2 linked regions of the Oryctolagus cuniculus genome follow. The protein of the gene in region 1 interacts with the protein of each later gene in a pairwise test. Links are inferred from orthologs where the notes say so. Each region holds a gene or a part of one and is shown on either strand. Other genes may lie near its edges.

What was found.
Region 2: the proteins of CPT1B (region 1) and TEX44 interact in binary tests that used the Homo sapiens proteins (3 or more experiments, as listed by UniProt). The two-hybrid records come from large-scale screens. The link is inferred for Oryctolagus cuniculus from reciprocal best matches to the Homo sapiens genes CPT1B and TEX44.

Annotation. Positions count from the first base shown.
Region 1 is NC_091442.1:123,496,361-123,500,164, forward strand, and holds part of CPT1B (carnitine O-palmitoyltransferase 1, muscle isoform), read right to left. Parts: intron 2,735-3,804; coding exon 2,539-2,734; intron 2,265-2,538; coding exon 2,079-2,264; intron 1,878-2,078; coding exon 1,772-1,877; intron 1,693-1,771; coding exon 1,576-1,692; intron 1,193-1,575; coding exon 1,028-1,192; intron 951-1,027; coding exon 816-950; intron 730-815; coding exon 577-729; intron 118-576; coding exon 4-117; intron 1-3. UniProt on the Homo sapiens protein: Catalyzes the transfer of the acyl group of long-chain fatty acid-CoA conjugates onto carnitine, an essential step for the mitochondrial uptake of long-chain fatty acids and their subsequent beta-oxidation in the mitochondrion.
Region 2 is NC_091434.1:7,713,275-7,716,949, forward strand, and holds TEX44 (testis-expressed protein 44), read right to left. Parts: upstream 2,170-3,675; 5' UTR 2,074-2,169; coding exon 949-2,073; 3' UTR 792-948; downstream 1-791.

The sequences.
Region 1 (3,804 bases):
CACAGGGCCAAAGCCACCTCCAGCGCCCAGGTGATTGGGGTACTGGTCTGGGTCGAACATGCGGATCTGGGATTGAGGGATCTGGCTGGTGGAGAGGCGCCAGGGTTCGGAGAGCACCTGCAGCGGGGCAGCCGTGGCCGGTTAGATGCTGCCCATCGGCACACACCTGTCCAGCAGCAGCACCCGAGGCCTATTCAAGCCTGCAGTGTCCTGCTGAGGACGCAGGTGTGAACGTGAGGGCAGGCCCCAGGTCCTCCACAGCCTGTTCCCACCGCAGCCTTGGGGAAGAACCCTCTCTTGCCATAGGAGGCTTGCGTGACCTGCTGGTCCCTCTCTCGGCTCTGTGCCCCCCGCCCTCGTCAGCCTCTCTCCTTTCCGCCCCGGCGCTTGTCTGCACCTCACACGTCACACACGAGACCAAGTCCACACTGCGCTCAGTCCCAGCACCGCAGGCTCAGGCGGGGTGCGGGGCAGGAGAGCCGGCTCCAGCCCCCAGGCAACTTCCCAGGAGCTAGCTACAAGACACAGTCCGAGCCCCGGCACAGGGAGGCACCCCGATGCACCCGTCTCACGGACCTCAGCCAGGAACGGGGAGCTGACCCCCAGGTACTTAGAAACCAGGTAGAGGCAGAAGAGGTGCCTGTCGATCCCAGCCCCCGTCATGGCCAGGCGGTACATGTTCTGGTGCTTTTGCGCAGCTTTCCGGAAGAGATCCTGGAGGTCGGCTTTCTGGAGGCAGGAGAGGAGGGCAAGAGTGGCCTCGGCCCTGAGGCTGACGAGGGGCACCTCGCCCCGACGGGAGAAAGGGGGCTCACCATGTGCGACCCCTCCATCATGGCCTGCACAAAGGCTGTGGACTCGCTGGTACAGGAACGCACGGTCTCAGTCCGTCCCTCCCGGAACATCCTGGTCATCGAGGCCTCGTAGGTCAGGCAGAACTTGCCCTTGTCCTGGGGTACACAGAGGGGTGAATCTGGTAGGCGCCCTCACGCCACCCTGCCCGCTCGCCGCCTGGGGGAGCTCTTACGCGGAAGTGAGCCAGCTGCAGGGCTATCTGCACGAAGGCGTCCGGGCTGGTCCGACACTTCTTGATGAGGCCCTTCCCGAAGGGCAGGAACTGGAAGCAGCACAGCTCCACATCGTCCGCCAGAGCCCTGGCCACCTGGTACGAGCGCTCGATGACTGCCTGACACTGCCAAGACACGGTGGGTCAGAGCCCTCCAGGTGCAACCCTGGGTCACGGCCAGGAGGCAGGGGGTCGTGCTGACGGATGAGGGCCAAAGGGGCCCACGTCTTCAGGAGGAGGGACAGGATGGACAACTCAGGGGTACCGGCCACCGGAGGCCAGGCTGAGCTTGGTGGGAGGAGGGTGGCACCAACAGCTGCCCCACAGATGTGAACTTCACATCTCACACCTTTCTCTAACCACAGATGGCTCACGGTTCTGCTCTCCTGTGGCCAGCCTGGAGCTACACAGGATCCTGTCCCTTCCTGCTGAGGGCTGGGCCGGGTGGTGGGAGGGGCGGGGGAGGCAGAGTGACTCAGATGATTGTCACTCTCCCACCCACCCCGCACCTGCTCGGGAATGTCCCACTGCAGCCGCTGAGGAGGCGCCAGCGTGGAGTTCGGTTTGCCTAGGCAGTGCCCAGTCTCTGTATAGCCCAGGTGGAAGGTGTCAGTGCCCACGACAAACTGCAGGGAGAAGTCAAGCTGAGAACCTGGGCTCCCCCCACCAAGCCTGCCCTGCAGGTGCCCCTCCCAGCCCTGGTACCTCCCAGAGGTGCCCGATGATGGGGGCGTCAGCCCACGCGTGTTCCGTGTTGAGACCCAGCTGGCCATTCTTGAAGGAAATGAGAGTGAAAGACTTGTCGAACCACCTGTGGGAGGAGTGGGCCCAGGGATGACTCAGTCCTGCAGCTTCCCACAGCAGCCTAACCGCGACACTAAACTCGCTATTTCTAGCCCCGGACCCTCACCCTGACCTGAAGCCTATCCCTAGCACGAGCCCGACCCTAACCTGTGCCTCATCCTGACCAGAACCTCAAGCAGACCCCTGGCCCGTGGGCTGTGGCACGCACCTGTTGTAGCAGTTGCCATGCAGCAAGGCCTTGCCGTAGAGGCTGAGGCTGGCCTCGTCCTCGGGGTTGTAGCAGTGGGCCTCCTCATCCAGGGCCACGAAGAAGGCAGCGCGCTCAATGGCGTCCAGAGAGGCCTTGTTCTTGCCCGAGCTGAAATAGGCCTGGCGTGCCTGCGCCCACTCCACCCTGCAGACCAGAGGGCAGGTGAACAGCGGGGCCCCGTGGGCCCTGGGTGAGGGCACCTCCCGAGACCTGGCTGGGCCTGAAAGCAGGGTCTGGTGGGGGCAGCGGATCACGCCCTCTGCGTGCTCGTACCTGGTTGCCAGCCCCTTGAGATGGGATCCACCCGCTGTGCCAGTGCTGGTACCCCCAGTGCTGCTCCCTTGGCTGTGCCTTTGGTCCCTTGGCCTGGGGTCGCAGGAAGGGCCAAGCACCTCCCTGATGGCCCCCGCCCCCGTACCTTCCACCCGCGGTGAGGGCTGCCAGCTTCTCCTCCCCAGGCTGGGGCGGGGAGGGGTCATCCAGGATCCTCTGGAACTGCATCTCCAGTTCCCGGGGCTTGAGCAGGCGCGAGCCCTCATACAGCCACACCTTGTAGAAGCGGCCCTTGTGGTAGACAGCCACGTGCCTGCTGTCCGCGAGGTGCTGCAGCACATCTGAGACAGAGACCAGGTGCAGGCTGAGGCTCGGCCACAGGGAGCCCTTCACTGGACAGCTGATCCTGCCCAGCCCAGCCGCTGCCCGGGCCCTCCTTCCCTTGGGGGCGGGGCCACACAGCTGAGACAGGCCCCACGCTGGGGCTTCCACCACCACTGCTGCGACACCCACAACAGTCCCGGGAGGCAGCTCAAGAAGAGGCCATCGCCGGCGCCGCGGCTCACTTGGCTAATCCTCCACCTGCGGCACCAGCAGCCCGGGTTCTAGTCCCGGTTGGGGTGCTGGATTCTGTCCTGGTTGCCCCTCTTCCAGTCCAGCTCTCTGCTGTGGCCTGGGAGTGCAGTGGAGGATGGCCCAGGTCCTTGGGCCCTGCACCCGCCTGGGAGACCAGGAGGAAGCACCTGGCTCCAGGATTCGGATCGGCACAGCGCGCCAGCCGTAGCAGCCATTTGGGGGGGTGAACCAACGGAAAAGGAAGACCTGTCTCTCTGTCTCTCTCTCTAACTCTGTCAAAAAAAAAAAAAAAAAAAAAAAAAAATGGCCGGCGCCATGGCTCAATAGGCTAATCCTCCACCTTGCGGCGCCGGCACACCGGGTTCTAGTCCCGGTTGGGGCGCCGGATTCTGTCCCGGTTGCCCCTCTTCCAGGCCAGCTCTCTGCTATGGCCAGGGAGTGCAGTGGAGGATGGCCCAGGTGCTTGGGCCCTGCACCCCATGGGAGACCAGGAAAAGCACCTGGATCCTGGCTCCTGCCATCGGATCAGCGCGGTGCGCCGGCTGCAGCGGCGGCCATTGGAGGGTGAACCAACGGCAAAGGAAGACCTTTCTCTCTGTCTCTCTCTCTCACTGTCCACTCTGCCTGTCAAAAAAAAAAAAAAAAAAAAAAAAAAAAAAAAAGAAAGAAAGAAAGGAGAGGCCATCGTGGCCCCTGGAAAAGGGTCAGCATCGCGGTGCAGTGGGTTAGGTTGCTGCCCACGGTGCTGGCATCTCACGAGTGCTGGGCTTCCTGGGAAGGCAGAGGATGATGGCACTGGTGCTTGGGCCCCGTCCCCCATGTGGGAGACGTGGAT
Region 2 (3,675 bases), on another chromosome or scaffold:
GGGACCCAACCACCGAACCATCACTGGTGCCTCCCAGGTTGCGTGTTAGCAGGAAGCTGGAATCAGGAGCAGCTGGGACTCGAACTAGCACTTAAATGGGATCCAGGTATTGCAGGTGGCGACTTAACCAGCTAGGCCACAACGCCAGCCCCAGTTTTCAATTTGAAAGCCCTGCATCCCAGGAACCCCCTTAGTCCAAGGCATCCTGGTTGGTGGCCCTCACATGGGTCACTGTCCCACCGTCTCCAGTCCTTGGAGGGTGGTGATAACAGCAGCTGCGGTGTGGGTGCTCATAAAGAGCCAGACTCCGTGCGGGGCATGCGCCACTCCTCTGGCTCCTAGCACCGCTGGGATGGGAAGCTTGTCTGTTCCACGCTGGGGAACAGAGGCTCAGAGAGAGAGTGAGGCGCCGGCATAGGGCAAGTGGCGGTGCGCAGGTCCCGACACACGCCCGTCTGACCTGGCGCCTCCACCCTCCACCCTCCACTGACTCTCAGAGCCACACCGAGGTGACCGCAGCCTGCTGGGCCAGCTCAGCCTGGGGCAGGCCCAGGTGTGGGTTCTTTCGGAACCTACCTGGTGGTGGTCCAGCTGGGATGGGTTTTGCAGGTCTGAGACCCCAACACCCTCCCCCCAGCCCTGCCACACTCTTAATTCTGCAGCTTTGCCCCTGGCTCCTAAATTTGTACAACGCGTAAGTCCCCAGGGGACAGTCTGCTTCCTGAACAGCTGAGCCCCTCGTGTCCATCCGCCCTGCTGCCCACCGCATGGACACCGGGTGAGGCTGGCGCTTAGAAAATAAACGCTCTCCGGTGATTTTATTATTGGGTGTTGCGGGAGCCGTCCAGGGCAGGGGCGGGCCAGGCAGCAGGGCCCCAGGGCTGTCCGAGGTGCAGAGCCGTGTGCCAGTCCTTTGGGGTTCCGTGGGCAGGGTCTAGTGGGCGGAGTCTAGTCGCCGTTGGGGCCGGCGTGGGCCCGGCGCAGAGGGAGGTGACTGGTGAGATAGCGCATGGCGGATCGGATGCCCTCCATCGTCCGCCGCTCCACCGTCTCCAGCACGTGGGTGACGGAGCGCAGAGCCGAGCCCGTGCCGGAAGTCAGCCCGGACGAGAAGGCCGAGCTGGCGTTCCCCAGGATGCTGGACACTGAGCGCAGGCTGGGCCCCGTGCTGTGCAGCAGGTCCGTGGGGGAGCTGTGGCCCGAGGCCAGGAAGCCCACGGCCATGCCCATGCCCATGGTGGACTCGGACCACACCAGGAGGTCGGCCAGGGAGCTGATGGAGCCCTCGCCGCCGCCCAGCAGGCTGCTCATGGAGCGCATGTAGTCGTTCTCCTCGTCCGCCTCGTACAGGTCCGAGTCCAGAGGCCTGCCCAGGCCCCGCTGCCGGGGGCCCGGCGAGGGCGGGGAGCTGCCCCCCGGGGAGGGAGGGAACGACTGGAACTGCAGGTCCCTCGAGCTGTCCGTCGAGTCCTCCTCCATCACCAGCTGGGACTCACTGGCCAGCAGAGCCCCGCTGTCCGGGTCAAAGGCCTTGGGGCTGTTGGCCTGCAGGGGCTGAGCGTCGGCATCGGGGGCGGAAGGAGCCTTAGCTCCCGGGGTGGCTGCAGCCGGTTCCAGCTGCCCGAGGACACTCGCCGTCTGCGGGGTCCTTTCCTCGCCCTGGGTGTCACTTGTCCAGACCGCGGGACTCCAAGCCGCCCGCCTGTCTTCAGGCAGCTGGTCCCACGCCGGACTCTGGGGGCTCCCGGGCACCTGCAGGGCACCAGGCTCTTGGGGAAGCAGAGACGTGACCTGTGCAGGCTCCTGTCCATCACCTGGAGCAGCTCCCTTCTTGTCTTTGTCCCCAGATGGTGACGTGGCCTGGGAAGTGGGCTGGTCTAGATCCTGCAGGCTGTCGGGTGCTGTGGCGCTGCGGGCCGACCAGCCATCTGCACGGGCGGCGTCTTGGCCCTGGGCCCCTGCTGCTGGGCCATCTGCAGACCTGTTGTGTGCCGCGCTGCCCAGGGTGGCCTCGGGAGGGCCATGGTGGGGGTTGATGGCAGCTTGGGCCTCTCCCGGGGCCTCGGTGTTCATCTATGCCCTCTGCCAGCTGTGGTGGTTCAGGGGAGTGGCCATGGCTCTGCTGGGCTGACTTGGCCAGGCGGTGAGGTCACAGGAGGCTGTGGGCAGCCGGTGAGGTCACAGGTACCTTCAGAGCAAGGACATGCACCTGCTGGGCCGCTGCCCAAGAGGGCTGAGTCTGCGGGGCGCTTTGCAGGTGAGTTTGCAGGAATGTGGAGAGAGAAACAGGTGTGTTGGGACAGCTGGAGGTGTGGATGCTGGTGCAGGTGCAGCCGTGAGGGGTCACGGGGGCTGTGGCTCTGGCGAGGGAGGAAATGACACAGGTGCTGGCTTTGAATCCGTGTTTAAAGGGACCGCACCAGGCTGGCGCCGCGGCTCACTAGGCTAATCCTCCGCCTAGCGGCGCCGGCACACCGGGTTCTAGTCCCGGTCGGGGTGCCGGAGTCTGTCCCGGTTGCCCCTCTTCCAGGCCAGCTCTCTGCTGTGGCCAGGGAGTGCAGTGGAGGATGGCCCAAGTGCTTGGGCCCTGCACTCCATGGGAGACCAGGATAAGTACCTGGCTCCAGATATCGGATCAGTGCGGTGTGCTGGCCGCGGTGGCCATTGGAGGGTGAACCAATGGCAAAAGGAAGACCTTTCTGTCTCTCTCTCTCACTGTCCACTCTGCCTGTCAAAAAAAATAAAATAAAATAAAATAAAAAATAAAGGGACCACACCAGCACCTCTCTGTCCACACCAAGGCTTCCGGACCCCACTTCAGCCGCTCTTTCTGCAGGGGCTGTGTCCCCCTACGGCAATGAGTAGGAAGCTGTAGAGGCCAGGGCCTGGGCCTCTCCTAGCCCTGGACATCTTTGGCTGTGGGGTCAGCCCCTTATGACACAGGACCAACCCTCTCCATATTCTTTTTGCTCAACCAGGCCGGGAAAGATCTGTGTGGCTCAGAAAAGCCCGCATACACCTCCCTGCGTGATGGCCTTTGTTAAGAAGCCGGCTGCAGTGGAAGGTTCCGGGCTCTGTGTCTGTGCTCCTCCAGGCTTATCAGCTAACGGCACCAGGGAGCTGCAGATCTCCTGCGATGCCTGCGATGCCCATGTTACACCTGGGGAAGCTGAGGGAATAAGGAGCTAATTCTCGGTCTTGCTGTGATTGAGCCCTGAGTCTGGATTAAGCTCTCCAGTGCTCTCTCACACCCAGGAGGGATTTTCAGTACACTGACTGGCTGGTTAACGGGGTTCTGAGGCCCACTGTACTAACCCAGGCCCCAGCTCTGTGCCGTCGGCGGCACTGTCTTCATGCTAAGGCTGTCTTCCCAGCCGCTGCCCCACGCAGCCTGTCCCTCTGCAAGGTCCAGGGGACAGGTTCTGCTTGTGGGTTCCCAAACATGCCTTCAAGAGTCAGTTCTCTCACTGGCCGTCTCCGTCTGTCTCTATCTTTCTGCTCATCTTTTTCACTGACGGCTGGATATTCGGGAAGATTTCCTCAATACAGGGGTGGCTAACAGCTCCAGACACACAGCCTAGTGGCTTCAAGCCACTGGAAGCCCTCCTTGGTCCTCTGTGGTGACAGCAAATCTCAGGACAGGCTCTCTGGCTGCTGCCCATCTGTGACGCGTCC